Linked DNA regions of Diceros bicornis minor. The protein of the gene in region 2 interacts with the protein of the main gene of each other region in a pairwise test. Links are inferred from orthologs where the notes say so. Each region holds a gene or a part of one and is shown on either strand. Other genes may lie near its edges. The genes, in order: PDHB; TRIM63; GMEB1; cytochrome b-c1 complex subunit 1, mitochondrial.

Region 1 (7,942 bases), on a different chromosome or scaffold from region 2:
TGAATGTCCACTCACCTCACATTCAATTCCCTCTTTAGACAGCACTGTTGCAGCTTCTAAGCAGTGGCCCACAGGTCTTGAATGGGAAACTACAGTTATGTGTGTCCCTGAAACAAAGTGGTCACAGATCAGAGGTCAGGTTGAAACTAAAGGCGCTGTACCACTCTGCAGACAGCTGTGGCTCTTGTTCATTTGTAAAATCTTCAACTCAACTTCATTCCAGTGAGGAGTGTAGCAGCCTTCCTAGAAATGAAACAAAAATCTACCAGACTGATATTTAGAAACGCACAAGTGTATGAGCAATCAGGGCATGACACATCCTTAACTTGAACTCATCCTATAACTTCCTAGTCAAAGCAAAGGGCAATAACCTCTAGATTGAATTTGACCAACATAAACAGAAGGGCTGGATTACAAATAATGTTTAAATGTATACTAAATTCTCTTACCTTGCCTTTCTATTTTGGCTTTTCCAATAGGAACCAGAAAATCTTTTGACTGAGCTTCTGAGGAAAGTTCAAAAGGAACTCCATACATCAATTCATTCTCTAGCATCACCACTGCAAAATATAAACAAAAGTAACTACATGACTAAAAATGTATACACAACATTATTATTCATTTTGTGAAAAGTTTCACTGTGCTGATTAGGAAGCCTTGTATCTATCTATCTTGGCCAGCAGCCTTGAAGATGGTTTAGGTACTGATATTTGTAGTCTGGTCAATCCTAATTTTATCTATTGAGGTTAAACCAGCGTTGTAAGTGTGTAGTAAATGTTTCCTATACCTTACTGGCCCCCTTATAGTCAGAAATAAGAAAAACATTTTTTACTATTTTTATTCTATCTCTACATCATTAACATTTATATGATATGTCTAAGCCTAACTAGAAGACTTTAATGGTTCCTTCCATGCAAAGATTTCACTTTAGTTCTTTTTCTTTTTTAATTCTATTTATTTATTTTTCTTCCCCAAAGCCCCAGTCAATAGTTGTATATCATAGCTGCACATCCTTCTAGTTGCTGTATGTGGGACGCAGCCTCAGCATGGCCGGAGAAATGGTGCGTCTGTGCATGCCCGGGATCCGAATCTGAGCCGCCAGCAGCGGAGCGCGCGCACCCAACTGCTAAGCCACGGGGCCGGCCCTCACTTTAGTTCTTTAATGTTCAAAAGAGACCCAAGGCTTACTCTGCTGACCTGGATTGTTATCCCGAATGGCTGATTTAATAAGTCCTTTTGCATCCTCTGAATTCCAGGGGCTGACCACCTTTAAGCCTGGGCAGTGCCCATACCAGGCAGCAAAGCACTGTGAGTGCTGGGCAGCTACGCCGGCTGAGGCGCCATTGGGCCCCCTGAAGACTATGGGCACAGGCTGAAGGCCCCCTGACATGTAGTAGGTCTTGGCAGCAGAGTTTATAACCTGGTCAATGGCTTGCATAGAAAAATTGAAGGTCATAAATTCACAAATGGGCCGCAATCCAGCCTGTCAAATAAAAAACACAGATGTTAAAAACAGCAATGAAGAGTGGCAAACAACCCCTCCGCTCTTCCAACATTCAAACGTTTTTAAAAGGTCATGTTAAAAGAATTTCTTTGGATCAGATTCATAAAGAGGATTACATACCATAGCTGCCCCTACAGCAATTCCAGCAAAGCCCATCTATAAAGTAAAACACAAACATAAGTGAAAATCCATAGAAATTATAACAGCGTACACTTTAATAGACATGCCCCTCAAAAGTCAGCTTCCTGATGGAAGGCTCACCTCAGATATGGGCGTGTCTATGATCCTCTTATCTCCATATTTCTTCCACAGGCCTCGACTAACCTACAATTAAGCATTGACCCCATTACTTTTAAGTGTATCTGGGGGCAAACGGCCACCTCAGTTTTGTATAGCTTTCCCGTATCTTGGTTACCTTGTATGCCCCATCATACTGGGCAACTTCTTCCCCAAGAAGAAACACCTTCTCATCTCTTTCCAGCTCCTCATCCATACCTTGATTTATAGCCTCACGAACTGTCACCTGTCACAGGTATGGGAAAACAGTCAATAAGCTAAAGGATTATTTAGGATACTATTGAGAGTCTCTCTCTTTATAATCACCTAGGCTGTCCATAGCATACCATATAAAAATTACCACTGGAACAGGTTTCTCTTTAAAAGTTCAAAGAATTCTAAAAGTAACATTTCTATCACACACAGCCAGTCTTTGGTTGGATGTGTTAATGAGAAGTTTACTGAACACTTTTCTTGACGTGCACCTAAGCTTAAAAAATCTGCTTGCTGGCCAGACCAGCTCATAGGCAGTTTCCCAAGTAGAAAGTATAGTGGTTTGTTTTATTTCCACACGTGGTGTACTGTGGGGCAGAGAACTGTCAAGAAAGCATAAATAATACTACATACTGACAACTCACTAGGTGCCAGGCACTGCCAAACACTTTGCCTTCAGGATCTAGGAGTTATTTTACTATACAGGTTGGTAGAATTCTCCAATAAAAAATAAAAGGAGGGGGGAATTCCTCAAAACGTAGAACACAGAATTACAATATGATCTGACAATTCCCGTTCTAGATAATATACCCAAGTAGAGACTCATACTTGCACACCAACGTTCACAGCAGCATTATTCTCAAATCCAAAAAGTGGAAGCAACCAAATGTCCATCAACAGAGGAATGGATAAATAAAATGTGGTATACGCATACAATGGACTATTATTCAGCCTTAAAAAGGAAGGGACTTCTGACACCTGCTATAACATGAATGAACCTTGAAAACACATAAGTGAAATAAGCCAGGTATAAAAGGACTAATGTATGATTCCACTTACAGGAGGTACCTAGAATAGATAAATTCATAGACACACAAAGTACAACAGAGGTTACCAGCGGCTAAGGGGAAATGGGAGTTATTGTTTAGTGGGCACAGTTTCTGTTTGGGATGATGATAAAGTTCTGGAGATGAATGTGATGATGGTTGCACAACATGGTGAACATACTTAGCGCCGCTCAAGATGCACTTTAAAACGGTAAGTTTTATGTTATGTATATTTTGCCACAATAAAAAATTAATAAAAGGGGGTCAGGGAAGAAGCGTAGTCTCGTTTCCTCAGATCGCCCATCTGATTCCAGTGAGCCTCGCGGGGGTGACATGCTGCTGTGATTGGGGACTGGCCATCACAGAGGCAGCACCAGTCCGACGCGGGACTCGGTAGACGCCCAACGCCCGCGGCCACCCTCTGCCCTCGGTGCCCACCCGCCACAGCGCAGGCGCGACCCCGGCCTCCGCCGCGGGACCAGGGGCCCCTCCACGCCCCGGCTAGCGTCCAGGCCAGTTACCTGTAGCGCCGCCGGCGCCGTCCGGTGAAAGCGTCTCCTCAGGAACCCGGAGACCTGGCGGGGAGAGAGAGAGGACGCTCAGAGGGGACGCAAGGTGGGCAGGGATCGCGCAGGGTCCCGGGGCCCGCGCGCCGCTGCCTACCTGCTCCAGGGGTCTCCGCACCAGCCCAGATACCGCCGCCATCTTGACCGTGTCCTCTAGCGGCCGCCGAATGACAACACAGCGGGGCCGCGGGGGCGCCAGGCCCCGCCTCCCCCGCCGGCACCGGCCAATAGCAGGGCGCGACGCCTGCGTGCCCCGCCCATCCCCTCCCCGGGTGAGGGGCCGAGGGGCGGGGCCGAGGTGGCGCTTGGGCTGGGCCTGCCGCACTTGCTCCGGCGACTTCAGTGAACTTTATTGAGAGTGCGCTGCGGCTGACATGCGGACTGCACGCTGGGGACACGTCCCTGGGTGGTGTGGGATGAAGCGCGGGGACCACAAGTCAGACACTAAGGAGCATAACTCGAGGCTAGAGGGCCAGCCTTCTGCGGGCACTGAAATCCTTTGGGCACCAAGTAGCGCTTGCACACACTCCAGTGGCGCGGCACTTACTGCATTATGAGCGATCCTACTTTTCTCTGGACAGCAATGTCTGTTGGTCCCTTAGAATGCGAACAAGAGCTTTCACTGGCGCATTAAGCGCCTACTGCATGCCAGGTATTGTAGGGAAGTGCTTTATTTACAGCTCATTTAATTCTTAGAGGAACCCTCTCAGGTAATTTTGTTATTATTATCTCCATTTCGCAGATGGGTAAACTGAAGCAGATTGGTTAAATGAGCCGGGATTTTAATTTAGGACTGTCTGACTTTTCCCATTGCTTTCTGAGGCAGAAGTTGGGGTCCCGCCTGGGAGGAGGTTACAACAACTTGCATTTAGAGAGGACCGTATGAAGCCAAATACTTGACTAGGGGCAGCATCTGGAAGCTTCCTCTCATTGGTCTCCGTTCGACCCTTGGGGGTCAGGCGGGACCACTGGGGACTCCCTCAGTCCTCACTTATCTCCAAGACATTCCAGACAAAAACCTTCTGTGGGCTGCATGCTGCTGGTCTGCAACCTCAGAGTCTGGGTTGTATCTAAGGGCTCCAGGTGCCACAAGGAAGTGACTAGATCTGCTTGGTGAGGGAGAATGAGGTGGAGGATGAGGGCAAAAGCAGGGACACCCCAGGGAGTGTTAGGCAGAGAGAGAGCTGGACTAGGGGGCCGTTTCAGGGTGAAGAGGAAGGGACAGATTTGAGATCTATTTGGGACTAGAATCAGTAGGATTGCTGTGAGGGAAGGGAAGAGTTGGGGAAGATTTCGGGTTTTTTGTTGTTGTTGGGTGGATGGGGGAGGGGTGGAGCCTGGGACCAGGTGGGAGGTTAAGAGTCTATTCTGAACAAGCTGAGTTTAGATGACTGGGCCATACCCAGGTTGGATAGAGGAGTCTGGAGCTTGAGGCTAGGTAGGGCTAGAAATATAAATTTGGGGACAGCTGCATAGAGATGGCCTTTAATCTCTGGGCCTCTGCTTCATCATCTGTAAAATGGAGAGATAGTCTCTAAGGTATGGAGTCAAGACCTTCCGTGTCTCCCTCACCTGGTGCCACCATCTAGTCCCTTCAGTCCTTGGCAGGAAACCTCAGCACTTCCCCACAGCCCCAGCATCCCTGAGAAACCCCTGAATTTGAGATGTCAGCCGTCAGGGAATCCTGGTGAAAAATAAATGAAAATCAATAGGACATATTGGAGTATATGAAGAAGCCATTTGATTTAAAACTAATTTGACTTGACTTTGTTTTTCCAAAGTGCCTGATGTGGCCTGTTGAGCATGCATTGTACATCTGCTTTAAATATTTATAATTTCCCAAAGATAAGAATGATGCCATTAAAGATAGGGATGTAGCTTCGCCCCACATTGGCATTTCCTTAAGGATAAGCATCTCTTCCTAGAAACTAAGGATTAATTACCAATCTGTTATGCTCACCTCGTGACCATTGACCTGCTGACCACTGACCTGCTGTGCCAGCTAAGCATCTTGTGACAGTAGTAAAAGAGATATTCCTATCATATGTGATGTATGCTGTTTGTTCCAAGGCAGTATATAACCACTCTGTACACTCCATTTCTTAGGTTTGCTTCCTTCCTTGGGGAAGGAAGCTCCCTGGGTTATAGTTCTCAGACCAGGCTGGTAATAAATTCACCCCCAATTTTGATTTATAGATTGATTATGGATTATTTGTGTGGACACTGGATTCTGCTTAGAATGAAAATGTGAGTCAGCTCTCCCACCACCCAGCACTGCAAGACTTCGGGATTAAAATTACAAAGCAAAAGGAGATCTCGAAGTGAAGGAAGAATGACCCAAAGAGAAGCCAGAATCTGGACTGTTTTGTCTAGACAAAGGAGAGTGTTCTGGGGCCATATTTATACAGAGATCCAAAATCGCCAGGAACACTCAGTCTGTGCAGCTAGTCTGGCCAGCTCAGTCAGGAAGACAGTGCAACTCCACAGGACTCAGCTGGCCTCAGCTGAAAATCTTCTTTTGAAATGATGGCTGTGGGCATTTCAAATACATTAGGTATATTCATTGGTACATGGGCTTTCCTTTCAAACTCTATAAATGGCCAGTTTGGAAAAGCTAGGCACGAATTTCCCTTAAGTGTAGAAGACACAAAAGATAAAAGTGTGAATTTTAAATCCATAATCATTTCAAAAAGTCTACATTCATATGCTCACTAGAGTTTACAGAAAGGGATTGGAAAGTATATATTGGCCAATCAGGCCATTTCTCTCTTGGAATGAAATCTTTCCAAAGTTATAGGAACATTTGTCCTCAAGTCACTTTGGTTTGTCAGTTGTCAGAAAGTCCTTTGTCCAGTTTTCGATATCTATGGACATGACCAACTTTTTTTGTCATTGCAAACAAGGTTTATTAAAGGGGGCTTTTCACTCCTTCTACCTTCTTAGGTGTAACTTAAATACAGTAAAATGCACATTTCCGTCACCCCAGAAAGTTCCCTCATGTCTCCTCCCGATCATTCCCCACACATCACCCCACAGGCAATCACAGATCTGATTTCCATCATCGTATTTTCCTTTGCCTGTTTTAGAACTTGAAATAAATGGAGTTGGACGGTGTATACCCTTTTGTATCTGGCTGCGTTAGCTCAGCAAAATGTGTTTGAGATTCCTCCTTGTTTTTTTTTTTATAATTTTATTTATTTATTTTTTCCCCCAAAGCCCCAGTAGATAGTTGTATGTCATAGTTGCACATCCTTCTAGTTGCTGCATGTGGGACGCGGCCTCAGCATGGCCGGAGAAGCGGTGCGTTGGTGCGCGCCCGGGATCTGAACCCCGGCCACCAGCAGCGGAGCACGCGCACTTAACCGCTAAGCCACGGGGCCCGCCCCTCGTTGTTGTTAAGTATCAATAGTTTACTCCTATTTTTTTCTTCTGATTTTTTCTTTTGTAAGACTTTAAAACTCACGAGAAGTTGCAAAAATAGTACAAAGAATTTCCATGCACCCTTCACCCAGATTTGCCAAATGATAATATCTTTTATAACCATACACATTGTCAAAACCCAGAAACTGACACTGGTACAATACTATTAACTTGGATAGAGACTTTATTCAGCTTTCACCAGTTTTTATATGCATTCTTTTGTGTGTGTATGTGTATAGTACTATAGAATTTTATCACGTGTACAGATTCATGTAACCACTACCACAATCAGAATACAAAATTTTTCCATCACCAGAAAGAACTCCTCGTGTTTCCTCAAAGTCACACCCTCCCCCACCCCTAACTCCTGGCAATCACTGATCTGTTCTCAATCACTATAATTTGTTATTTCAAGAGTGTTTTATACATGGAATCATACAATATGTAACTCGTTGAGATTAGCTATTGTCACTCAGCCTAATGCCCTTGATCCATTCAAGTGTTTGCGTGTATCAACATTTCTTTCTTTTTTATGGCTTACTAGTTGAATGGCTATATCACTTTACTCATTCATTCATTGAAGGACATTTGGGTTGTATCTAGTTTTAAGCTATTAATAAAGCTGCCATGAACATTGGTTTGCGGGGTTTTGTGTGAGCATAAGTTTAACATTTCTTCAGGTAAATACCCAGCAGTACAACTGTATGTTAGGTGTGTGTTTAACCTTTAAGAAATTGCCAAGCTGTTTTTCCAGGGTGGCTCTACCATTTTATGTTACCTCCACAAATGTATCAGATATCCAGTTGCTCTGGATCCTTGCCAGAACCTGATATTATCAATATTTTTCATTTTAGCCATTCTAATAGATGTGTGGTAGTATCCCTCATGACTTTAATTTATATTTCCCTAATGTTTAAGGATATTGAACATCTTTTCATGTGTTTACTTGCCATCCATCTTTGGTGAAGTGTCTGTTCAAGTCTTTTGCTCATATACTAATTAGATTGTTTTTTATTGTGGTAAAATATGCAAACATAAAATTTACCGTTTTAACCATTTTTAAGTGTACAGTTCAGTGGCATTAGATACATTCACACTGTTGTTCAACCACCACCACCATCCATCTCCAGAACTTT
Region 2 (7,686 bases):
AGGCCCTGGCACAGAGCAGACCCTCAATAGAGGGGAGCTATCACTGTCATTCAACTATGTGGAAAAGCCTCGAAGGGCAAACACAACGTGTTCTTCCTAGGTCAACACTGGGTGGGCTAATATTTTCGTACAATATTGATTTTATTATTATTATAATGATCAACAATATATTTGCATTTTTGTAGTGTTGAACTCCAGCAACATGAGAAGCAATATCGGTTAGGAATGTTCACCATGGAGTCAGTCAGATAGGCTCCCTCTCAGTTTCACCACTTGCTGCTGAGTGGCCTTGGACAAGCCTCTGACATTCTCTGAGCCTCCACTTCCTCACTGTAAAATGAGGGCAAGAATTCCTTATAGAATTATTTTAAGAATTAAATAGGGATAATGCATGGAAAATACTTAGTACAGTGGCTACACACAGTAGGTGCTCAATAAATATTTGCTGTTTTTAACATTTCCCATCAAAATCCTATTTGATAATCACAATAACAAATCTTACTGTCCCATTCTTCAGACAGGGGAAATGAAGGCCCAAAGACTTACTCAAGATCCTACAATGCATTAGTAACAGAGTCAGACCAGCAAACACCCTTCCCCAGGTCAGGGCTCTTTCTCACTAGGACTGGTCTGCCATCTTTCTTTGGGCAGGACGCCACCTGCAGGCCGGCACTTGGTGGAGGTTTTGGACCATAAAGGCTGTGAGGTCAGCAGCCTGGAAGTCTTGTTAGGATGTCCTGATTTGTAAAGATCTCCCCGGTAGCTGTGTCTCTCTCCGTTTGAGAGAGACACAGGGGACTGCACAATGTCCCCCACTCACAAATCCCGCCTGAGGCTGAGCTGCTATTTTACAAACAGGGAGACTCAGAGCTAAATCGACTGGGTCCATCCCCAGCAATTCCGCTTCCCAACTGGGAGACCTCGGGTAACTGACTTCACCTCTTTGAGCCTCAGCCTCCCCACTGGTGAAATGGGGATGATAAAAGTCATGCCTGACCCACAGGACTGTTGTGAAGGAGCAGGAGGAAGCATTCCCGGTGCCCCAGGCTGTGCGTCCGGGCACATGGGACGATACCTGTTGCTATCACTATAGAGAAACTGGCTGTGTTCTCGCTGGGCACTTCTCTGCTTATCAGGGCCACTTAGCTAGCCCCAGTCCTCTCTCTCCCTCTCGTATCTCATCTTCGCCCCAGTTTCTGTCTCAGTATCTCCCAAGAGGGCAGCCTAACATCTGGGCCCTTTCCCATTCACTGAGTGACACAGAGAGCCAGGGTTGGAGGACAGAGATGAGCCTCTGTTCCTGCCTGAGGAAGAGGGGATGGCTCTCTGGACTGGCTAGTGTATCTTGCCCAACTACGGGACTGGATCCCAAGCAGATGAAGGAGGAAGGAGCCTGGGAGGGCTGGGCAGAGAACAGTGGGGAGAGAGGATGGGCTCCCAGCAGCCAGGCAGACTGACCTGGAACACTCCTGCTTGTAGATGTCAATGATGTTCTCCACCAGCAGATTCCTCTGCAGACCGTACACTCCGTGACGATCCATGATCACCTCATGGCGGCAGGAGGGGCAGCGGAAACGGCCTCCAGACACGGACACCGAGCCACCCCGGTTGGTCCAGTAGGGATTTGCAGCCTGCGGGTGGCAAGGGCAGACATGAGGCCTGGGGTCCCTCCTCAGCCCCTCCCCTTTCTAATCTCTGATTGTCTTTCCCTCTGCTTACCCCCAAACATTCTTTTTTTTTTGCTGGGAAAGATTCACTCTGAGCTAACATCTGTTGCCAGTCTTCCTCTCTATTTTTGTTTTTTTCCTCCCCAAAGCCCCAGTACACAGTTGTATATCCTAGTTGTGAGTCCTTCTAGTTCTTCTATGTGAGCCACCACCACAGCATGGCTATTGACAGACAAGTGGTGTGGTTCCACGCCTGGGAACCTAACCAGGGCTGCCGAAGTGGAGCGCACTGAACTTTAACCACTAGGCCATCAGGGCAGGCTCCTCAACCATTCTTGTCACACCATGTGACTTGGAGCTCGCCAGCCCACTTACAAAGGGAGCACCTGAGGAGCAACTAAGCAGTCAACAGGTTTGGGAGTCAGCAGACCTAGGTTTAAGTCACGGTTCTTCTCTGAATGACTTTGGGCAAGCAACCTCATGTCTCCAAGCCTCAGTTTGCCCATTCACGAAATGGGCACTATAATTAGAGCCAGCTCCTAGGGCTGCCACTTTAAAGATAAAGAAGTGAGAGAACATTTTGTAAAGTGCTTCTGGGGAAACTTGAGTCCTGCCTCCAGCCAGGACCTCCACCCCCATTCCTTTCTTAGGGAGATGGAGATTCTCCTGCCCCCATATTATAGAGAACAGCCTTGAAGGGGAAGACGTCTCTACTGCCCAGGGCCTCCCAGCCACCCTCCTCCTAAAGCTTTGGGGCCCTGCCACCACGGAGCTGGCTCCGGCCCCAGGGGTCTGGTTTCTCTCTCGTCTCTGCCTGCCTCTCCCTCTTATCACTCGAGGCATTTGACTCCTATTGGAGAGTCAACTGCGGTGTTCAGGATGCGGGTGGGGGAGCTGCGGGCAGGGCGGGGAGGGGAAACATGCGTCATGGAGAAGGAATGGGGCAGCCAGAGCCACCTCCCTAGCCCCCCTCAGCCAGGCCAGAGGCCTCAGCAGGGGGTCACTTAGGAGAAGAAAAAACCAACCCCAGTTTGGAAGAGTCCTGGGCTAGGAGAGAAGGGCTTTCCTTATGGGAAAACTGAAGAGCCACCTGGGGCCCCGCAACTAGGCTCCGCCCCGCACTGACCTGAAAGATGTCATTGGCACACTTCCGGCAGAGGTTGTGCTGACACGGCAAGATGACCACCGGCTTGGTAAACATCTCCAGGCAGATGGGACAGATCAGCTGCTTCTCCAGGTTCTCCATGGGGCTCCCATCCTGGATCAGGCTTGACTTATAATCCATATTGTCGGAAGGTGTGGCCCCACCTGGATGCCTCCTCCACCGGCCTCACTCGAAGCAGACCTGGGGTCTTGCCTGTGTCACAAAACACCCACCCGGAGCCTCTTTGTCTTCTTCTCCTGGCGCCCGAATTCTGTCTTGGGCTGAGGCCCCTCTGATATTTATAGCTGGACCCCGGTCACATGAGCCCCAGGAGGGGACCAGCTGAGCATTCCGATGCCAAGCGGCTGGCGGGGCTTGAGTTTCTTCCAGGCCTGAAAGACCGGCCCTCTCAAATCACATGTAGCGATGAGCAATCCCTGTTCCCCTGGGATGGGGGTCGTAAACAAGAACAGCCTGTTTGTGGGCAGGGTTGGGGGAGGGGCACCCAAAGTTTCCTCCAGAAATTAGTTTCCTCCCACAACAGGCTGGTAAGCCAGGGACGGGACCCAGCGAGTGGGCCACTGGGATTTGTGGGGTTAACAGCCAGTGTCCCCTCACTAACCTAAATCAGGTCCCCCCCTTGTGGAGTCCTAGGCAGCCCCCAAGATGAAGGGTCAGGGCAGCCCCTTTCTCTGAGCCCATCCCTGAGCACAGCATGTTGCTGGAGACCTTGAAACTCCCACCCCAGTTAACCCATCCCTCCATTCCTTGGCCACTAATTGTACTTTAATGCTGAAGGGCTCCCTTAAGACATAGTCCAGTCCCCTCGTTGTATAGATTTTGACGCTGAGGTTTAGAAGGAAAGGAGCTTATTCAAAGTCACTTAGAAAGTAAGTGGCAAAGCCAGGAACCTTATTCATTCATCAAACATTTTTCTGAGTACTGACTATACATCAGGCGCCAAAGTGACAGATAAATGAGTACTCCTTTTCCCTGCCCTGAGATTCCTACAGTGTAGGGAGAGAGACAGACAGAAATAACTATTATGTAATGCCTACCTAGACACTTAGAAGTTATCCAGATGCTCTCCTTTGTCCTCTGTACAAATTTTTTTTTTTTTTTGTGAGGAAGATCAGCCCTGAGCTAACATCTGTGCCAATCCTCCTCTTTTTGCTGAGGAAGACTGGCCCTGGGCTAACATCTGTGCCTATCTTCCTCCACTTTATGTGGGACGCGGCCTCAGCATGGCCTGACAAGTGGTGCATCTGTGCACGCCTGGGACCCGAACCCCGGCCGCCAGCAGCGGAGCTCGCGCACTTAACCGCTATGCCAGGGGCCGGCCCCCCTCTGTACAAATTTAAATTTTTCTCCATGTCCTTCTGGACATCTTCCATGTTGGCAAGTAGAAGTCATTGGAGCAGTTCCAATGGCTGTTTTTAAGGTGAATCTCATGCAAAGGGATATTGGGGCCATCACTATAAGGCACTGGGGTGAGAGTGGGAGCAGTGACATCAGGCCTCAGGATGAGCTTGAGAGGCTGTAGAACATACAGGAGGAGGGTCCAAGATCTCATGAAAGAGGAGTGGCAAGAGACTAGGTTTGATCCCCTCAGCCTGGAGAAGAGTTGACGGTTGGAGAAGACTTAGTGAGTAGCGAGGGCAGAGGAGCCAACTTTGGGAAGGAGAGGAAATGGGAGGGAGAAGGGGAAGAGGGGGACCCAGTCAGAGAAAGAGGTGGAGGCCTAGAGGACAAGGGGCTGGGGAATTTCAAGGAGAGGGTGGTCCCCCCAAAATGTGAATGGCTAGTTTTGCTGAGCACCTACCATGTGCCAGGCACTGTGCCAAGCACTTCGTGTGCATTGTTTTATTTCACCATCTCAACAGCCAACAACGTAAGAACTATTATATCCCCATGCTACGGATGAGGAACCTCAGGCACAGAGAGTGAAATAACTATGTATGAGGTCACACAGCTTGCAAGACGTGGCTCTAGGACATTAACCCAGATATGCTTGACTCAGGAGCCCAAGCTCCTCATGTCTCTATTGAACTGTAGGTCAACACTGCCAGGCCAGCGAGGAGTTGGAGGAGGATGAGGGTTAAAAAGAAGCCATCCCTTCTTCCTTGCTCACACGACCTCAGTTTTGTTCAGGAATCTGGCAGAACTGTTCTCCAGGAAGGCAGCCCTCTCCACTGACACAGGAGACAAAGGCTTACACCTATCATGGTAATCCTGTCCTCCTTTGCCTAAGTGACACAGTTGTGGCCAAGGAGATGCAAGGGCTGGTGGAGGAGGGCTACAGAGAAAAGATTTTCTCCCTGATAAAAAAAGAAATGCAAGAAGAAAGCTTCATTCTTGCCCGTGAATGGGGTTGTGAGAGAGGGGGCAGTTACCTTGCAACCAAGAGTGGACAAGTCTGAGGAAGAAATCAACCTCTGAGAATGGCAAAGAGGAACCATAGAAAGCACCTGGGTCATTGACACCATCATTATGCTGCCCGTTTACCCACCTCTGGAACTGCCTGCCTCTTGACTATTTAAGATGTGAGATAATACATGTCATGATAGTGCAATTATTCTGTTACTTGCAGCAGAGAGCACTCCATATATGTTCATGATTCCAACTCCTATATGCCAACGATCCTCAGTCTCTAATTTCAGTTCAGACCTCTCTCTCCCCTAAGCTAAAGATTTGTTGGAAATCTCTATTGGGATGTTCCAATGGCACCCCAAACTCGTCATACCCCAAACAGAACACACCATCTTCCCCCGCACCTAGCTCCTCCTTCTGTTTTCTTTGTCTCATGTCTCAGTGAACAGCAGTACCATTCACCCATTTGCACAGACCAGAAAGCTGAGAGCCATCCTTGGGCTCCCCCTTCCGTCCATTGCACACTCAGTCAATCTCAGCATTAAGCACGGGTCCATCTTTCCATCTCACTTGTCATCTTACCATCATCTGTTTGTGAGTCTGATTCTCCCTCTGGACTTTGAAGACTTTGAGGTCAAAGACTGTCTCTATTCATCTCTGTACCCCCAGTATCTGACACATAGTAGGCGCTTAACACATATTTCTTAGATGAGTGAACGAGCGAATGAGTGAGTTAAATAGGGAGCAGCAGGTCACTGTCAGACTTGGGGAAGATTAACGTCCTTGAGCAAGTTATTTTTTGGCTGAGACAGTGCAGCCAGTGAAGAAAAAGTACTGGAAGATTGGGGTTGGGGGATTGATGGAGTAAACTCTAAAGCCTTGGGAAGGAGAAGGACACTCCAACCTTTGAGCTGGAAGGATAGGAGAGAGGAAAGGATGGAGGCGACAATCAGGGGTGTCGGGGGTGGAGAGAAAGGTGCTCATACTGATGACCTTGGTCAAGAGAGAGTTGAGGTCAACTTCTGAGACTGAGGCAGGGGGAGGGTAGCGTGAGCGGGTGGGGGAAAAAGTTTTGACCAGCCAGTGTGAAACACAGGAGGAAGTGCCCTACAGAGGGGTGGAAGGGCTGTCTGGGGGCAGAAGAGCCTCGTTGACGTTTCCCAGCGGGGATTTGCCATTTGTGAGGAGCCATTCGCATGCTTCTGTTGACTTTCTCCAGCCACACTTGGCAGGCCAGGTGCAAAAGCCAAGCAAACGGACAGTGGGATCGACTCCAGCCTGGCATTGGCAAGGCTAGCACTGCTGAAAGTCAAGGGATGAGGGAGGGAAATTCCCACATGGGCCGTGCTGGCCATCAAAACTTGTCTTGTCATTTAATCCTCACAACAGTCCTGCAAGGAAGATATCATAATCTTTGTTTTTCCCCAGAGGAAATGAGATTCAGAGAGTTAACTGGCTTGGCCAAAGTCACACAGCCACAAGCGGCAGAGCTGAGCTGGGGTTCATATCCAACGTAGCCCGAGTCCTAAACCTGTGCTCTTCTCACTGAAGCATTTATTGAGTGCTTATTGCATGCCAGACATTGTGCTAAGCCCTTTCCATCCATCTTCTTGTTCAGTCCTCAAAATAACTCAGTGAGGCATAGGTCATGATTTTCCCTCTTTCGCAGCCGACCTAACAGGCTCAGAGAGGTTAAGTCACTTGGCCAAAGTCCCCCAGCCAATGAGTGGCAGAGCCAGCATCAGAACGAAGAAGTTATAAACCAGTATCATTACCGGTTATTGAAACATACTGTAAAGCTAAGGACCCAGAGATAAAGAGACAAACGTGGAATACCACTGGTGCATGTGAGCCCAGAGCTTTTAACTACCACATTTTACTGCTTCCCTCTCCACACATCTTCTCATTTATTTATTTTTACTGTTTATTTATGAAAATTTCAAACATACAAAAGTAGAGAGAATAGTATAATGAACTCATGTGACCAAACCCTCTTCAATTTTTATCAACATTTTACTAATCTTATGTTTTTTTCTTTTTCTTTTTTTTTTTTTTGGTGAAGAAGATCAGCCCTGAGCTAACATCTGTGCTAATCCTCCTCTTTTTGCTGAGGAAGACTGGCTCTGAGCTAACATCTATTGCCAATCCTCCTCCTTTTTTTCCCCCAAAGCCCCAGTAGACAGTTGTATGTCATAGTTGCACATCCTTTTAGTTGCTGTATGTGGGACGCGGCCTCAGCATGGCTGAAGAAGCGGTGCGTCAGTGCGCGCCCGGGATCCGAACCCAGGCTGCCAGTAGTGGAGTGCACGCACTTAACCACTAAGCCACGGGGCCGGCCCACCAATCTTATTTCATCTATACCTCCACACACTTCCTTTTTCTGGAATATTTTAAAGCCAATCTTGGGGCTGGCCCTGTGGCCAAGTGGTTAAGTTTGGTGCACTCTGCTTTGACAGCCTGGGTTCAGATCCCAGGCACCGACCTACACCACTTGTCAGTGGCTAT
Region 3 (7,671 bases), about 2.0 Mb from region 2:
CAGGCGCAGACCTATACCACTTGTCAGCCATGCTGTGCCGGCTACCCACATACAAAATGGAGGAAGACTGGCACAGATGTTAGCTCAGGGTGAATCTTCCTCAAGCAAAAAGAGGAAGATTGGCAACAGATGTTAGTTCAGGCCAGATCTTCCTCAGCAAAAAAAAAGGGATATGATGAAGCATACAAATGCCATCAATCCTAGAATAATTGAACCAATAGATATCTTCAAAGCTTGAACCACAAAAATGTAGGGTGAATTAAAATTATAATCACAGCTAACATTTGTTGGACATTCATTTATTGTCTGTTACTATTACATATTTAATTAATTTAAAAGATGTAATACTTTACCAGGTAACAAACTTACGGAATTTATTATTCCAAAAGTGGAATTTATTATTCCAAAAAGGTCGTTTAAATTTTTAAAAATTAATAGCTTAGGTAACTTAATGGGTTAGAGAAGCAGAATTAGAAAGATGCTTCCAGTTTCAACCTTCTACCCTAAGGTTGAGTTCTCTCTACAACACTCTGAATAAGTGGTTGACTAACTACTTGATTAATACTTTCCTCAATAGGAACTCATATTTTACTCCTTACCCCTCCCACACCTTGGAACCCAAGAGGAATGTTCTGGCTGCTTCTCTAACCTTCTGAGAGTATATCAGAGAAGATAATTATAATCATCCACAACATGTCTCTCAGTGTCAGTCAGAGACACAGGTCTGATCCAACATCGCAATTCTTACATTCTTTAGAGGAGCAAGTTTAGGTTGAATATCTCTTATTACCCTAAATACCATATTCCTAGCAAGTAACCTGAAACCAGCTCTACAGACTACAGTGGCTAATTGCAAGGTCATCTCTTTGAGCTGAGTGTAAACTGAAAAGTAGCTCTTGTTTATAGCAACAAAAACTCCTAATGCAAGATGAGTGAATTGATCCTTTGGGTATTTCATGGAAGGGGCCTTGGAGAATTCATTGTGGAATCACACAACACTTTCTATAATTCTAGGGGAACACACATAAAGGAATTATGTCAAATTTATGTGAAAAGCAAAAATTATTTTGTAGTTATTTTCAAAGACAAAAAAGAGACCTTGAAAGTAAGTGCATGACTACTCACGTAAGCTATTGGAAAACTAAACAATGACATCTGACCTACTCTGGATTAAATTTACTTTTTGTGTCCTGAAAAACCAACATTTAAAACATGGCAAGATGTAAGCACAAGTGTCACATGATCACAGGGACATCAGAGTTGGTTGCTGAAAAGGAGTAATAAAAATACCAGATATCCTGAAATTTTCTAACCCCAAAAATGTATTTATTCCACACTGTTTGTAACTTTTGTAGACTGTTTTGTAGTCTATTCTTAAGAAACTTAAGAAATAAAGTTAAAACTTTATTATTACTTGAGACCAAGACTCCTTGATTTTTTTTCCTTCTTTATTCCTTCTCATATATTTAGTAGGTGATTCAGAATGCTACCAGATGTAATGAAGCCAACAAGAAGGCTACACAGGACCACTGTGAGGGAAACAGAGCAAATGAAGTTCAGGGTAAGTCACATGTTGCAGAACACTATGTAAGTGTTTGGGGAAGCAATGGAATAAAAGGGTTCTTTGAAGGGTCATCCCACTACAGTCTAAGACCCACTACAGCATAAGACCAAAAGAGGGACCAAACTAGCCCAACTTAGTTAAGTACAAATTAACTATTCCATATATGTTGCTGAGGTAAATACAAGTGGTTGGGTTTTTTTTTGTTTTGTGTGTGCGTCTGTGAGCAAGATCAGCCCTGAGCTAACAACATCCATGCCAATCCTCCTTTTTTTTCCCTTTTTCTCCCCAAAGCCCCAGTAGATAGTTGTATGTCATAGCTGCACATCCTTCTAGTTGCTGTATGTGGGACGCCACCTCAGCATGGCTGGAGAAGCGGTGGGTCAGTGCACGCCTGGGATCCGAACCCAGGCCACCAGTAGCAGAGCGCGCACTTAACTGCTAAGCCACGGGGCGGGCCCCCAAGTGGTTGCTGACTAAAGAAAATGTCATCAAGTCAGTAGACATTAAATATGCATAATTCATAAAGAGCCCACAAATTAGGGAAGACAGTCCAAACATTTAATGAAAAAGTCCCCCAAAAGCACTTTGGTAACCATTAGCAGAGGCAAGGGGGGAGAAAAGAATCCCTCTGTGAGGCTAGAATTATCTGGTCGTCCCTTTCTCCAATCCTCCAGGTTAAGCAGGAAAACTCCACTTCTTGGTCCTGGTAAACAGACACCAATCCAGGCCCCTTTTGGGTCTGCCAGGAAGTGGTTTTGCGATCTCTCTCATCTTGAGAGGAGAGCTGAGGCCTCCTCCTGCTCCTTGGATAGCCAAGCCTTCCCCTGATCCCTGGGTCAAGGCTTGACAAGCCTTGTCTGGTGGACCACTCTCCAGGACCCTCAAGTAAGATTCTGCCCTCACCTCTCCTGCCCCTCCATTAGGAGGCAAGTTCAGAAAGTAAGCGTACTCTAAGCTTCTTCCTCTCAATTATCTTCTCTAGGGTCCTCAAAAACCTGGGTTCCCCCACCCCCTGACATACCAGATGACCCCGTTCTCTACCTATCAAATCTCCCTCTCATGGCTACTTCAGGGGGCGCTGAGGTGTCTTCTTCCCGGCCCCTCATGACGGGAAGGCAGGGGCTGCTCGCTTTCCCTGGGAGCTCTTCTTCCTTGTACCCAGACCTGTCACCACGCCCGCCTTCGGAAAAACATCTGTCTCTCTCCACGGACTGAAGGGCCGAGGCCTCTAACGCGCCCCTCAGGTGAAGCCCGGCCCCTCCTTTCCTCAGCAAAACCCACTCTCGGCTCTTGCGCGCCCGCCAAGGCTCCGAGGGGCTCCTCTCCGCGGCCACCCAGGCTCCCCTCACCTTTCGCCCCCCTCCCCCCGCGCGCCACCCAGGCCTCTCCTCAGCCCCTCAGCGAAGGGCCTGGTGCTCCCCGGACCCCGCCTCTGGGGATACCCCAGGCTCCCCGGACCCCTCGCCGGGGTCCTGGACGTCCGGCCTCAGTCCGGAGGCGCTCCGGCCCCTCCTAGCCCCTCGGCCGAGGACTTCCGGGCCCCTCGGTCCAGGGGCGCAGGGGCCCCCCCAGTGCCGGGCTCCCGGGCCCCCGCGGCTCTCGGCCAGCAGCCGAGCCCGAGCGGCGCGGCCAGCCGCGCTGGGGGCGGCCCGGCTGCTCGGGCGGACCCAGCGGCAGCGTCCCCCCACCCCCCCGCGGCGCCGCGACGTCCGCTCGCTCCCCGGCGGCGGCGGCGGCACGCACAGGGCGTGGGGAGGCGCCCGCGGAGGCAGCAGCCCCCCCGCCCCCTGCGCGCCCGCCCGCCCTCGCCGGCCGCCGCGCGGCCCCCGCGCCCGCCCCCCCCGCCCCCACCCCACCCCGCGCCCGCGCCCGCGCGCCCACCCCTCCCCCTCCTCACCGTCTCCGTCGGGCGGGCGGGCGGCGAGCGGCCAGGGCGGGCGGGCCACGGAGCATGCGCAGAGGCCGCCACGGCCGCTACCGCCACCGCCGCCGCCAGGCCCGGCTTCAAGACTTCCGGCCGCCGCCGGCGAGCTGGCGCCTTAAAGGGGACGCGTCCCTATTGCCGGTCCCGCGGAGGATGAACCTCAGCCGGAGGGAATTGAGTGAGCCTTTCGCTGAGCAGGGGTCTCCCGCTCTGGAAAGTCAGTGTTGGGAAGGACGCTAGGGACTCCAATAACTCTCCTTCTCCCGCTTCATGTATGAGGAAAATGAGGCCTAAATTAAAGATTCACCTCATCCACAAATGGGGGCAAAGGCAGGTCTCTCGACTCCACTGGAGGACTCTGCTCCTCTTACCTCCCCAAATCCTGTTTTATGAAGCTTACATCTTGTCAGACCTTCAGAAGTTATGACCCAACTATCAATTTGGAATCAAAAGATCTGGCTGAGTATAGTCAGTAACTGGTCACGAGTCCCTGAGCAAGCTGCTTACATTCTCTCACCCATGCACGTTTGCCAAGCATTTCCTGGTGAGGTTTTGGGTTCAAGTCTTTACTTCTTTGGGGGAGTTATTTAACCGCTCTAGGCCTCGATTTCGCCTAAGGGGTAAGGTTGTTGTGAGTGTTAAAAGAAGTGATACATGAAAAGTGCTTAGGAAAATTCCTGGGGCCAGTAATGGTAATTAGCAAAGACTAAGACCTTTCTATATGGCCAGGCCTGGGGGAAGATGCTTTTGTCCCATATAATCCTCGAAGGAACTCTACTAAGTAGCTTCTTTTCACTTCTTTTTTCACTTCTTTTCACTTTTTTTCACATTAAAAAAAAAAAGCAGGAGGGCCAGAGAAGTTAACTAATTCCTCAAGGTCACAAAACCTGTAAATGGTATAGCCAGGATTTAAACTAAGGCCATTCTTTCTCCAGAGTCCATGGTTATACCCACCCACTAAGATGGTCGCTGTCCTTATTAAGAAGAAATGAGGTGGTGGTATTTGGGCACTTTCTTCGGAGGGGGAAGGAGAATTGCTTCCCCATCTTGCCTCCTCCTGTGAGTCATATCTTTGCTATCTATCCCCTCCCTCCTGAAGAGGTGACAGGAAGTTTTACAAGATCTTGATTCGGGCTGGCCCTGTGGCTTAGCGGTTGAGTGCGCACACTCCACTGCTGGGGGCCCGGGTTCGGATCCTGGGTGCGCACTGATGCACCACTTCTCGGGCCATGCTGAGGCTGCATCCTGCATACAGTAACTAGAAGGATGTGCAACTATGACATACAACTATCTACTGGAGCTTTGGGGGAAAATAAATAGATTAAATTATTAAAAAAAAAAAGATCTTGATTCAAGATCAAGAGGCAGATCAAGAGACAGATGAGGCAGCCCAGGAGTAAACAAAAGAACTGAATTTGGGGGGATCAGACAACCTGGGTTCTAGGCTTGGCTTTAGCAGCTCTGGGATCTTGGCCAAGTTATACCTCCCTTAATCTTTGATTTCCGCATCTGTAAAACAGAAATGATTTTCCCGCTGTGCCCACCTCTCAGGGCTGTTTCCAGGATCAAATAAGGAGACTTAGTACCCATGTTAGTATCTGTTCTTATGATTAAGGACTTACACATTAGCAGATGATTCTGAATATAATGGCTGGTCATGACTGGACTCTTGACCCATGTGAACTATTCCATAGTGGGATCATCTGTGTCTTTTGATTATGCATCAAACACTCATTGAGCATTTACCAAAAACCTATCCCTGCCTTCCAGAAGCTCTTGGTCCACCTTCAGAGACAGAATTGTAAACATACAGGACAGGACAGTGCGACAGGTGTTATCCTAGAGATAGAAACAAACCACTGAAAAGTGCAAAGGACTCTCCCTGGAGAGTTCCTGAAAGACTTCACAGAGGAGGGGATGTTTGAGCCTGGTCTCAAGGATGAATAGGAGTTCATCAAAGGGAAAAGTGGGGAAGAGCATTCCAAAAAGTACAACATGTCCAAAGACAAAGAAGTAAGAAATGATAGGAGATGGGGCTGAAGAGGGAGGCTGGAACCAGAAGGTTGTCAAGGAGTAAGGAGCTATCCTGCAGGGGGTGGGGATCCAAGGTGGGGTTTAAGTCCTCTCCAACTGCACTGCTAACACCCAGCGCCGGCCCACAGACTAGCCTGGACCACTGCAGTAATTTCTCAATACTCAGTAACCCTATCCACCCCACCCCCAAATGCTATCCACCCTAGGCACCTAGTGGGAGTAATCTTTTAAAGAGATAAAGTCTGGGCGGGCGCTGTGGTTTAGTGGTTAAGTGTGCGCACTCCGCTGCTGGCGGCCCGGGTTCGGATCCCGGGCGCACACTGACGCACCGCTTCTCCGGCCATGCTGAGGCCGCGTCCCACATACAGCAACTAGAAGGATGTGCAGCTATGACATACAACTATCTACTGGGGCTTTGGGGGAAAAAAATAAATAAATAAAAATTAAAGAGATAAAGTCAAATGTGACTTCCCTGTTAAAAACTCTTCAGTAGCCTCCCAATGCACTTATAATTTTTTTATTATTATTTTTTTCCCCCAAAGCCCCAGTAGATAGTTGTATGTCATAGCTGCACATCCTTCTAGTTGCTGTATATGGGACGCGGCCTCAGCATGGCCGGAGAAGCGGTGCGTCAGTACACGCCGGGATCGAACCCGGGCCGCCAGCAGCGGAGTGCGCGCTTAACCACTAAGCCACGGGGCCAGCCCTCCCAATGCACTTAGAGTTAAACCCAGACACCTCCCCACCCCACTCCCCCACCAGGGCCACCATGCATGATCTCCTTCCTGCCTTTTCTCTTCTCTGCCCCTCTCTCATTGTGCTCCAGACACCCTGGGCTCCTTTTTGTGCCCAGGGCCTTGTGAACCCTGCTCAGGGCCTTGTCACTGGCTCTTCCCTCTATCTGGATAGCTCCTTCCTCAGGTCCTGAGAAGCTCATTCTCATCTTTCACTCTTCACAGGCCTTCCCTGGCTCCCAACCTAAAGAAGGGTCCCCAGCCACAATTTGCTCTATCATTGCTGCCCCCAGTTCCATCAGGGCACCTGTCATGTTCATTTGGGGGACTATTTCAGGGCAAAGACCACATCTGAGAGAACTCTCCTCCCCATGCCCTAGTTCCTTTCTCCCAATCCCCCTGCTTACCTTCATAGCAATCCCCACAATTTGAAATCCCCTAGATTTGTTTATTTACCTATTTTGTGTCAATCTTTATCATTTACCCCACATAGTATTTGGAACAGAGTTTGGTGTATGGCAAATGTTTGTTGATCGAATGAATGACCAGAAAAATTATAGAATATGGACTGGAAAGGAGAAGGACTGGGAAAAGGAAACTAGTGTGTGGGGGAGACCGCTATGATGATGTGAGCTGATGTGCTCCAGATGCAGTTCCCAATTGGAACCAGCAGACGTTAGTGACCAACCAGATGTGGGGAGTGAGGGAGACAAAGGGACAAGGATGACCCAGTGAAGGAACAAAGCAGGAAGAGTTGGTTGGGGATTGAGGGAAAGTAGAAATGACGAGTCCGTTTGGACTTGTTGAGTCTGAGGTGCTTAAGGGACATCCAAATGAAGGTGTTCCAAAGGAGGTTGGGTTGACTTGTCCCAGGCAAGAGGCCAGGGCTGGAATTTGAGACCTGTCATGTAGATGGGACCACAGAGGCCAAGAGGGGATGAGGTCAGCTAACAGGAGTGTGCAGAGAGGGAGGGGGCTAGGGGCTCGAACCTGGGCAACATTAAGCCTTGAGAAACCTGCAGGAACCGACCAGAAGTGTTTGGAAAGGTTAGGTCCCTGGACAGAGGGAAGAGAGGAAGCCCAGAGAGCAGGCAGGGGGCTTCCAGAAGGACGAGATGGCACCAACGATGTCAGATACTGCAGAGAGCTCTGGCAGGAACAAAGGAGAAGCCCGTGGTTTTGGCAACTAAGAGGTCATTGCTGATCCTTCCAGGGTAGAGTCTCCTCCGAGGTTGGGAAGGAAGATTATAGTGGATCAAGTAGTAAATGGGAGGAGAAATGGCGGAAACAGTGAGTGGAGACAATTCTTTAAAATTTTTTGATAGAAAGGAGGAACTAAGACATAAGGCAATAAGATGATTATTTTAACAGGAGAGAAAGTCATGTGAAGGCTTTTTAAAATTTTTTTCACTTAA
Region 4 (8,410 bases), on a different chromosome or scaffold from region 2:
AAATACACACCACACCACTCACTCAACATGGTCACATGGATCTAGTCTTTTAATTTACTATTTGTTCACAACTAATTTAAAATTTTCATATCTACTTTCTTAAGAGATGTGGACATACATACCCTATGTCATAAATTCTTACATAAACGTCTATTTCACATCTAACATCTTGGAAAGGAAGGTGCACTTTACAATCCATGGTATCCTCTGATTATAACTGACAACATTCTCTGGCACTAGCACACAGTGATGCTCCTGACAATCTAGAGCATCTTAAGAGTCCATGGAACACAGCATTCTCTACCAAGCTTTCTTAACAGGCTTTGGGTCGGTTTATACAGGTGCCACATAACAAGGAAGCTGCCCATCACCTTTTGCTGTATTCAGTAACAACTTATATCATAGAACGTTATTTGTTCCTGGAAAACTGAAAGCAGTTACCAATAAAACCACTTAGCCATGGAGTTTGGGGTGGGAAGGAGGAGGATTACTTCTTGAGAATCTTCTTACCTATTCATATATCTAGCCAAGATTTCTATCCTTGAGTCAATTTTTAAGATTTTTTTTTTTCGGAAGATCATCCACTGCAATGGAATCTTCAAATGTACTTTTTCCGCAATGCATTCCTGGTCTAGCCAGAAGATTATGACTTTGGGCTGTGAGGCAGGCAGTCACCTAATGTCTCTGAACCCCATTTTCCTCGTTGTAAAATGGAAACAGGATCACTTCTCTCATCTAGGCTGCTTAAGAAAAAGCTGGAAAAGAACCTGGCCTCCTGGTTCACAGGCAACATATGCTAAATGAGTGCTGGCTATAGTGAGGACTGCCCCCAAGAAGTCAAAGCGTAGGTGGTGTCGGCATTGGGGTAGAAGATCAATCCAGTGGTGAGTGAGCAGGAGTCTGACCCAAACCAGAGGACTCGAGCCCAAGGTCACAGCCCGACCTGGGAAAAGACGCCTGGCCCAATATGGAGGCGTCCTCCCGACAGCGGCCCCCACTCACCGTGCAGGTAGGCTGGGAGGACTGCTCCGAGGCCACTCGCAGCCCGCTGTCCAGCAGGCTGACCTGCGTCTCTGGCACGCTCTGGAGGGCCTGGGCGAAGGTGGCGGTGCCCCGGAAGGCAGGAGACCTCAGCAGGGCGGGCTGCTAGAAACGGGCGGCCGCGAATGAGGACTGAGTTGGGAGATCGCTCCTCAGCTGCCATGCCCACAGTGGGATCCCCGTCCCCGCCCCCGGGCCAGCCGCGAGACTCCCAGCCCCGCCCTGGACCGTGACCTTCCCACGGCCCTGACCCCGCGACCTCCTCGATCTTGACCCGCTGCAACTAACAGCCCGCTCCCCGTCCGCGCTCCGTAGCCCTGCGCTCTCGTTGCCACCTCACCGAGCGGCGGGTGCACAGCAGCACTCGCGTCGCGGAGCAGGCCGCCCGGCAAACCACGGAAGCCGCCATCTTCAAGCTCCAGTCGGCGTTGGGCCGCGCCACGCATGCGTAGAGTAGACGCGGTGGCGCCCCAGGCGCAGGCGCAGTTACGCAGCCTTGGCGCTCGGCCGCCCCCGGGGGGGAATCCGGGATATTTACTCCGGGCTGCTTGCTGGCTCTGTCGGCGCGTCCGCCGGTACGTACGTGCGTCAGTCCGTCTACCTCTCTCTTCGTCGTTCTACGCGAGTCCGTCCGCAGTCTAGTCCTCTTCCCCTTTCACCTATGGGAGGCAGAGTTGGAGATGTTTCTCACGAACCGCGGGCGCTCCAAATCCACTGCGTGTCCGCGGATCACGGCCCCGGAGCAAAAGCATCTACGTGGAATCCTGGGACTACGAGGCAGCTGCTGAAAGTCACGATTCTCTTTTAAAAAATGAAGTAAATTCAGACGGTTGACATGGAAGGAACTTAACGATATATTGCTAAGAAAAAAGGAAGAACTTAGAGACCAATTTGTGAAAAGGATTCCTTGTTTGGAAAACACACACACACACACACACACACACACACACACACACAACAAAACGACGTGCCTCTTCAGATAGACTACATAGAAAGAAATCCGGAGGAACTCACTCTAAGCTTTCAGCCAGGTGACTTCCGGAAAATGGGTGCAGAGGAAGGAAGAGAAAGCTACCATTTTTACCTTCCTGTATTATTTTAATACAACTTTTTTTTTTTTTTTTTTTTTTTTTTTTTTGGTGAGGAACATTAGTCCTGAGCTAACATCTGTTGTCAATCCTCTTCTTTTTTACTGAGGAAGACTGGCCCTGGGCTAACATCCGTGCCCATCTTCCTCCACTTTATGTGGGATGCTGCCACAGCATGGCCTGACAAGCGGTGTGTCAGTGCGTGCCCAGGATCCGAACCAGGGCTGCCAGCAGTGGAGCACGCACACTTAACCACTACACCACAGGGCCAGCCCCAGAACAGTTTTGTATTTACAGAAAAATTGAGCAGATAGTACAGAGTTTCCTATATATACCGCCATACACACGTGCACAGCTTCCCCTATTATTAACATCTTACATTATTATAGTACATTTGTTACAATTAATGAAATAATATTGGTACATTATTATTAAAGTCCATAGTTTATTCAGATTCCCTTAGTTTTTACCTGATGTCCTTTTTCTGTTCTAGGATCCCATCTAGGATATCACATTACATTTCATTGTCATGTCTCCTTAGGCTTCTCTGGCCTGTGACACAGCCTCCTACAGTGACCACCGCATTCTGTACCATCCTTCAAGCAGAGCTCCCCCAGAGAGCTCACTATGTGCAGTTCCTCTCCTCCCATTCTCTCCCAAACCCTCTCCATTCCAGTCCCCACTTCACTCCTCCAAAACCACACCTGTCAATGTAATCAGTGAGCTCCATGTTGCTAAATCCAATGGCCAATGCACAGTCTCATTTAAGGTGATTGGCCACTTCTTCCTCCTCAGAGCCTCATCCCTTTTCCGCCTCCAGGTTCCCATGCTATTCCCTTCTTTGTCCTACCTCCCTGGACTCTCCTTCTTAGCAATTCTGTTGGTTCCTCCTCACCTCCTGAGTTTTACACAGTGAGTGCCCAGGGCTCAGTCCTGGCACCTCTTCCCTTCCTGATCAAAACTTACTCCCTGGTCATCTCACCCAGCCTTATGGCTTCATTGCTGTCTATATATACAATGACTCCTATATTCCCACCATTTACTCACCATCTCTCCTGGAGGGCCATCAGACATCTGAGTTAAGCATTGGAGCTGAACTTTTCACTTTCCCTTCCAAACTTGTTCCTCCCATAATTATCTTCATCTCAGTAAATGACACTTCCGTTAACCCAGTTGCTCAGGCTAAATATCTAGGAGCCCTCTTTGACTCCTCACTTTCAAAATCCACACCCAATCCTTTAGCAAATTCTGTTCCAAATAATTTCTCAATCCAGTGACCTAGCTCCCCTTCCCCACCCCCACTGCTACCCCGGGATGAGAAGGGAAGGCCAGTGAGACAACCAGGAAGTGAGATGTTGCAAATGCCCAGGGAAGGATGTGTTTCAAGAGATTGGTCAAAAATGGAAATGTTACTAAAAGGTCAAGTACAAGTAGTGGCCATTGCAACGATTTGGCAAGAGTCTTCGGTGACTCATTGATCTTCTGGAATTTACTTGGTATATGGAGTGAGGTGAGGTCAAAATATCCTTTTCCCTCCTAAATTGCAAACTGAATTTTGGGACAGCATTTCTTGACCAGGCCTCCTTTCTCTATCCATCTCTGAGACTCCCTTTATTACTCCCTGAGATTCTCACACCTGTAACCAGGTCCATGCAGACTGCCTGAGAGGGCTCTGACACTCACCTTACTCTTCTCACTCAGTATTTGTTTGATATACTCACCATTTTTTTCTTCTGGATTAAAAAAAAAATTTTTTTTTGAGGAAGATTAGCCCTGCACTAACATCTGTTGCCAATTTTCCTCTTTTTCTTTTTTCTCCCCAAAGCCCCAGTACTAGTTGTGTATCACAGTTATAGAGTCGTAGCTCTTCTATATGGGATGCCACCTCAGCATGGCTTAATGAGCGGTGAGTAGGTCCACACCTAGGATCCGAACAAGCAAACCCCGGGCCACCGAAGCGGAATGCGTGAACTTAACCGCTACGCCACCAGGCCAGCCCCTGGATTTTTTTATTTTTATGTTATTTCTTTAATTTTAGCTTTAACTTGTGCTACCATATACATAAAATTTAGCATCTATAACTGTATAGTTAATAGTTATCAGTGGCATTAACTACATTCAAAATGTTGTGCAACCATCACCACTATTTCTAAAACTTTTTTGTCACCCAAAACAGAAACTCTGTACCATTAAGCAATAACTCACCATTTTTCCCCCTTCCTCCTTCCCCTGGTAACCTCGATTCTATTTTCTGTCTTTATGAACTTGCCTATTCTAGATATTTCACATAAGTGGGATCGTACGATATTTGTTGTTAAAAAGACAACAGGCCCAAAATAGAGTCACTATGCTAAGCCCCATGTTACCAGACCAAGACAACTTAATTAAGTTAAGAAATGGAATCTTAAACCAGTCAATCAGGAATTGCCTGATCAGCACTAGTTAGTCCATCTGCCTGATAGACCCCTGCCATCCCCTACAGGAAAGTAATTTTGCAATAACCAACCCACTTTTTTGTCTAATATAACCTCCTTGTTCCTGCTCCCTTCTGCCTATAAAGGTCTTTCATTTTGTGCAGCTCCTTGGAGCTCCTTTCTATCTGCTAGATTGGATGCTGCTCAATTTGAATTGATTTTGCTCAAATAACCTCAAAATTTTTAATATGCCTCGGTTTATCTTTTAACGTTGTCCTTTTATGTTTGGCTTATTTCACTTAGCATACTGTCATTTATCCATTCATCTGTTGATGGACACTTGGGCTGTTACTACCTTTTGTCTATTGTAAATAATGCTGCAGTGAACACTGGCATACAAGTATCTGTTTGAGAGCCTGCTTTCAATTCTTTTGGTATATACCTGGGAGGGGTATTGCTGGATCACATGGTAATTCTATGTTTAGTTTTTTGAGGAACTGCTAAACTGTTTTCCATAGTGGCTGTATTGTTTTACATTCCCACCAGCAACGCACAAGGGGTCTAATTTCTCTACATCCACACCAATATTTGTTCTCTTCCATTTTTTTTCTTATAATAGCCATCTTAATGGGGGTGATGTGATATCTCATTGTGGTTTTGATTTGTATTTCTTCAATGACTAGTAATGTTGAGCATCTTTTCGTGTATTTATCGGCCATCTGTATATCTCCTTTAGAGAAATGTCTATTCAAATCCTTTGTCCATTTTTGAATTGTGTTGTTTTGTTGTTGTTGAGTTGTAGGAGTTCTTTATATATGCTGGATATTAATCCCTTATTAGATATATGATTTACAAATATTTTATCTCATTTTGTGGACTGTCTTTTTACTCTCTTGATAGTATCCTTTGACGCACAAAAGGTTTTATTTTGATGAAGTCCAATTTATCTATTTTTTCTTTTATTGCCTGTTCTTTTGGTGTCATACTTAAGAAATCATTGCCTTCTCCAAGGTTATGAAGATTTTCATCTATGTTTTCCTCTAAGAGTTTTAACTCTTAGATTTAATCTTTTAACTCTTAAATTTAATCCTTGGTACTTTTTAGTTAACTTTGTATATGATGTAAGGTAAGGGTCCAACTTCATTTTTTTGCATGTGGATATCCAGTTTTCCCAGCACCATTTATTGAAAAAACTGTCTTTTCCCCATTAAACAGTCTTGGCACCGTTGTTGAAAACCAATTTACCATACGTGTGCAGGTTTATTTCTGGTCTCTCTATTCTATTCCATTGGTCTATATGTCTATCCTTATAGCAATACCACACTGTACTTTTTTTTTTCTTGTGAGGAGACCAGCCCTGTGCTAACATCTGCCAATCCTCCTCTTTTTCTGCTGAGGAAGACTGGCCCTGGGCTAACATCCGTGCCCATCTTCCTCCACTTTATATGGGACGCCACCACAGCATGGCTTGCCAAGCAGTGTGTCGGTGAACGCCCGGGATCTGAACCGGCAAACCCGGGGCCGCCACAGCAGAGCACACGTGCTTAACAGCTTGCGCCACCAGGCCGGCCTACCACACTGTATTGATTATAGTACCTCTGTGGTATGTTTTGGAAATCAGGAAGTATGAGTTCTCCAACTTTGTTCTTCTTTAAGATTATTTTGGCTATTCAGGGTCCCTTGAGATTCCATATATTTTAAGATGGGTTTTTCTATTTCTCTAAAAAAACACCGTTGGGGTTTTGATAGGGATTGCATTGAATCTGTAGACCACCCTGTGTAGTATTGTCATCTTAACAGTCTTAAGTTCTCCAATCCAAGAACATGGAATGTCTTTCTACTTATTTATGTCTTCTTTAATTTCTTTTGGCAATGTTTTGTGGTTTTCAGCATACAAGTCTTTTGCCTCTTTGCTTAAATTTAATCCTAAGTATTTTATCCTTTTTGACACTGTTATTCATGATTTTTTTAAAATATTCCCTTTTCAGATTGTTCATTGTAAGTGCATAGAAATACAGTTGATTTTTATATGGATTTTATATTCTTCAACTTTGCTGAATTCATTTATTAGCTCTAACAATTTTGGAGTTTTCTACACATACCATCATGTCATCAATGAACAGAGATAATTTTACTTTTTCCTTTCCAATTTGGATGTCTTTTCTTTTTTCTTTCTTGCATAATTGCTCTGGCGAGAACTTCCACTACTATGTTGAATAGTAGTGGTGAAAGTGGGCATCCTCATCTTCTTCCTGGTATTAGAGAAAAGGCTTTCAGTCTTTCACCATTGAGTATGATGTTAGCTGTGGGTTTTTCATATATGGCCTTTATCATGTTGAGGAAGTTTCCTTCCATTCCTAGTTTACTGAGTGTTTTTTATTAAGAAAGGGTGTCGAATTTTGTCAAATGCTTTTTCTGCATCAACTGAGGTTATCATATGCTTTTTTCCCCCTTCATTCTATTAATGTGGTGTAGTGCATTGATTGATTTCCATATGTTGAACCATCCTTGCATTTTGGGAATAAATCCCACTTGCATCCCTCTTAATATGCTGCTGAATTTGATTTCCTAATATTTTGTTGAAGATATTTGCATATATATTAATAATATAGATAGTAGTTTTCTTTTCGTGCAGTGTCTTTGTCTGGCTTTGGTGCCAGAGCAATGCTGGCCTCATAGAATAAATTAAGAAGTGTTCCCTCCTCTTCAATTTTCTGGAAGAGTTTGAGAAGAATTGGTGTAAATTCTTCTTTAAATGTTAACATAGATTTATAATTATTGTTTTATGCATTTGCCTTTTAAATCATATAGGAAAAAGAGAGAAGTTACAAACCAAACTTAAAGGGCATTAATTCTGGCTTTTATGGTTACCTAGGAAATTACCTTTACTAGTGTTCTTTGCTTTTCATACGGCTTTGAGTTGTTGTCTAGTGTCCTTTTATTTAAGCCTGAAGGACTCCCTGTAGCATTTCTTGTAGGATAGATCTACTGGTAATGAACCCTCTCAGCTTTTGTTTATCTGGAACTGTCTTTATTTCTCCTTCATTCTTGAAGGATAGTTTTGCTGGATATAGAATTCTTGGTTGATGGGGGGGGTTTTGTTCAAGACTTTAAATATGTCATCCCACTGCCTTCTGGCTTCCATGGTTTCTGAGTAGAAATCATATGTTAATCTTAGTTAGAATCCCTTGTACATGAGGAGTCACTTGTCTCTGTCTTTGAGTTTCAACAATTTAATTATAATGTGTTTCTGTGTAGATCTCTGAGTTTATCTTACTTGGAGTTCATCGAGATTCTTGGATGTGTATATTCATATCTTACATCAGATTTGGGGAGATTTGGGGCATTATTTATTCAAATATTTTTTTCTGCTCCTTTCTCTTTCTTCTCCTTGTGGAACTCCCATGATGCATACCTTGTTCTGTTTGATAGTATTCCACAGGTCCATCAGGATCTGTTTATTTTTCTTTATTCTTTTTCTTTCTCTCCTCAGACAGGATAATTTCAATTGTCTTACCTTCAAATTCACTGATCCTTTCTTCTGCCTGCTCCAATCTGCTGTTGAACACTTCTAGTGAGTTTTTCATTTCAGATATTATACTCTTCAGCTCCAGAATTTATTTTTGGACCCATTTAAAATTTTCTCCCTCTTTATTGATCTTCTAATTGCATTCAGACATTGTTTTCCTGATTTACTTTAGTTCTTTGTCTGTGGTTTCCTTTCACTAATAATTCCAATGCCTGGGCTTACTTAGGGATAATTTCTGTCAAATTGTTTTTTTTTCTTTTTTCTGTGAATGGGCCATACTTTCCTATCTTTGTTTTATGATTTTTTGTTAAGAGCTGGACATTCTGAGTAATTCTGGA

The links.
Region 1: the proteins of TRIM63 (region 2) and PDHB interact in a two-hybrid assay, tested with the Homo sapiens proteins (2 studies listed by BioGRID). The link is inferred for Diceros bicornis minor from reciprocal best matches to the Homo sapiens genes TRIM63 and PDHB.
Region 3: the proteins of TRIM63 (region 2) and GMEB1 interact in a two-hybrid assay, tested with the Homo sapiens proteins (2 studies listed by BioGRID and IntAct). The link is inferred for Diceros bicornis minor from reciprocal best matches to the Homo sapiens genes TRIM63 and GMEB1.
Region 4: the proteins of TRIM63 (region 2) and cytochrome b-c1 complex subunit 1, mitochondrial interact in a two-hybrid assay, tested with the Homo sapiens proteins (2 studies listed by BioGRID and IntAct). The link is inferred for Diceros bicornis minor from reciprocal best matches to the Homo sapiens genes TRIM63 and UQCRC1.

What each region holds. Positions count from the first base shown.
Region 1 is NC_080741.1:58,309,210-58,317,151, forward strand, and holds the start of PDHB (pyruvate dehydrogenase E1 component subunit beta, mitochondrial), read right to left. Parts: upstream 3,555-7,942; 5' UTR 3,526-3,554; coding exon 3,484-3,525; intron 3,396-3,483; coding exon 3,342-3,395; intron 2,028-3,341; coding exon 1,920-2,027; intron 1,829-1,919; coding exon 1,766-1,828; intron 1,661-1,765; coding exon 1,625-1,660; intron 1,484-1,624; coding exon 1,198-1,483; intron 561-1,197; coding exon 450-560; intron 108-449; coding exon 16-107; intron 1-15. UniProt on the Homo sapiens protein: The pyruvate dehydrogenase complex catalyzes the overall conversion of pyruvate to acetyl-CoA and CO(2), and thereby links the glycolytic pathway to the tricarboxylic cycle.
Region 2 is NC_080752.1:42,020,532-42,028,217, forward strand, and holds the start of TRIM63 (E3 ubiquitin-protein ligase TRIM63), read right to left. Parts: upstream 3,244-7,686; 5' UTR 2,953-3,243; coding exon 2,794-2,952; intron 1,632-2,793; coding exon 1,459-1,631; intron 1-1,458. UniProt on the Homo sapiens protein: E3 ubiquitin ligase. Mediates the ubiquitination and subsequent proteasomal degradation of CKM, GMEB1 and HIBADH.
Region 3 is NC_080752.1:43,990,828-43,998,498, reverse strand, and holds the start of GMEB1 (glucocorticoid modulatory element-binding protein 1), read right to left. Parts: upstream 3,504-7,671; 5' UTR 3,462-3,503; intron 2,887-3,461; exon of another isoform or gene 2,606-2,886; intron 1-2,605. UniProt on the Homo sapiens protein: Trans-acting factor that binds to glucocorticoid modulatory elements (GME) present in the TAT (tyrosine aminotransferase) promoter and increases sensitivity to low concentrations of glucocorticoids. Also binds to the transferrin receptor promoter.
Region 4 is NC_080741.1:49,939,026-49,947,435, forward strand, and holds the start of cytochrome b-c1 complex subunit 1, mitochondrial, read right to left. Parts: upstream 3,303-8,410; 5' UTR 3,177-3,302; intron 1,701-3,176; 5' UTR 1,451-1,700; coding exon 1,382-1,450; intron 1,147-1,381; coding exon 1,003-1,146; intron 1-1,002. UniProt on the Homo sapiens protein: Component of the ubiquinol-cytochrome c oxidoreductase, a multisubunit transmembrane complex that is part of the mitochondrial electron transport chain which drives oxidative phosphorylation.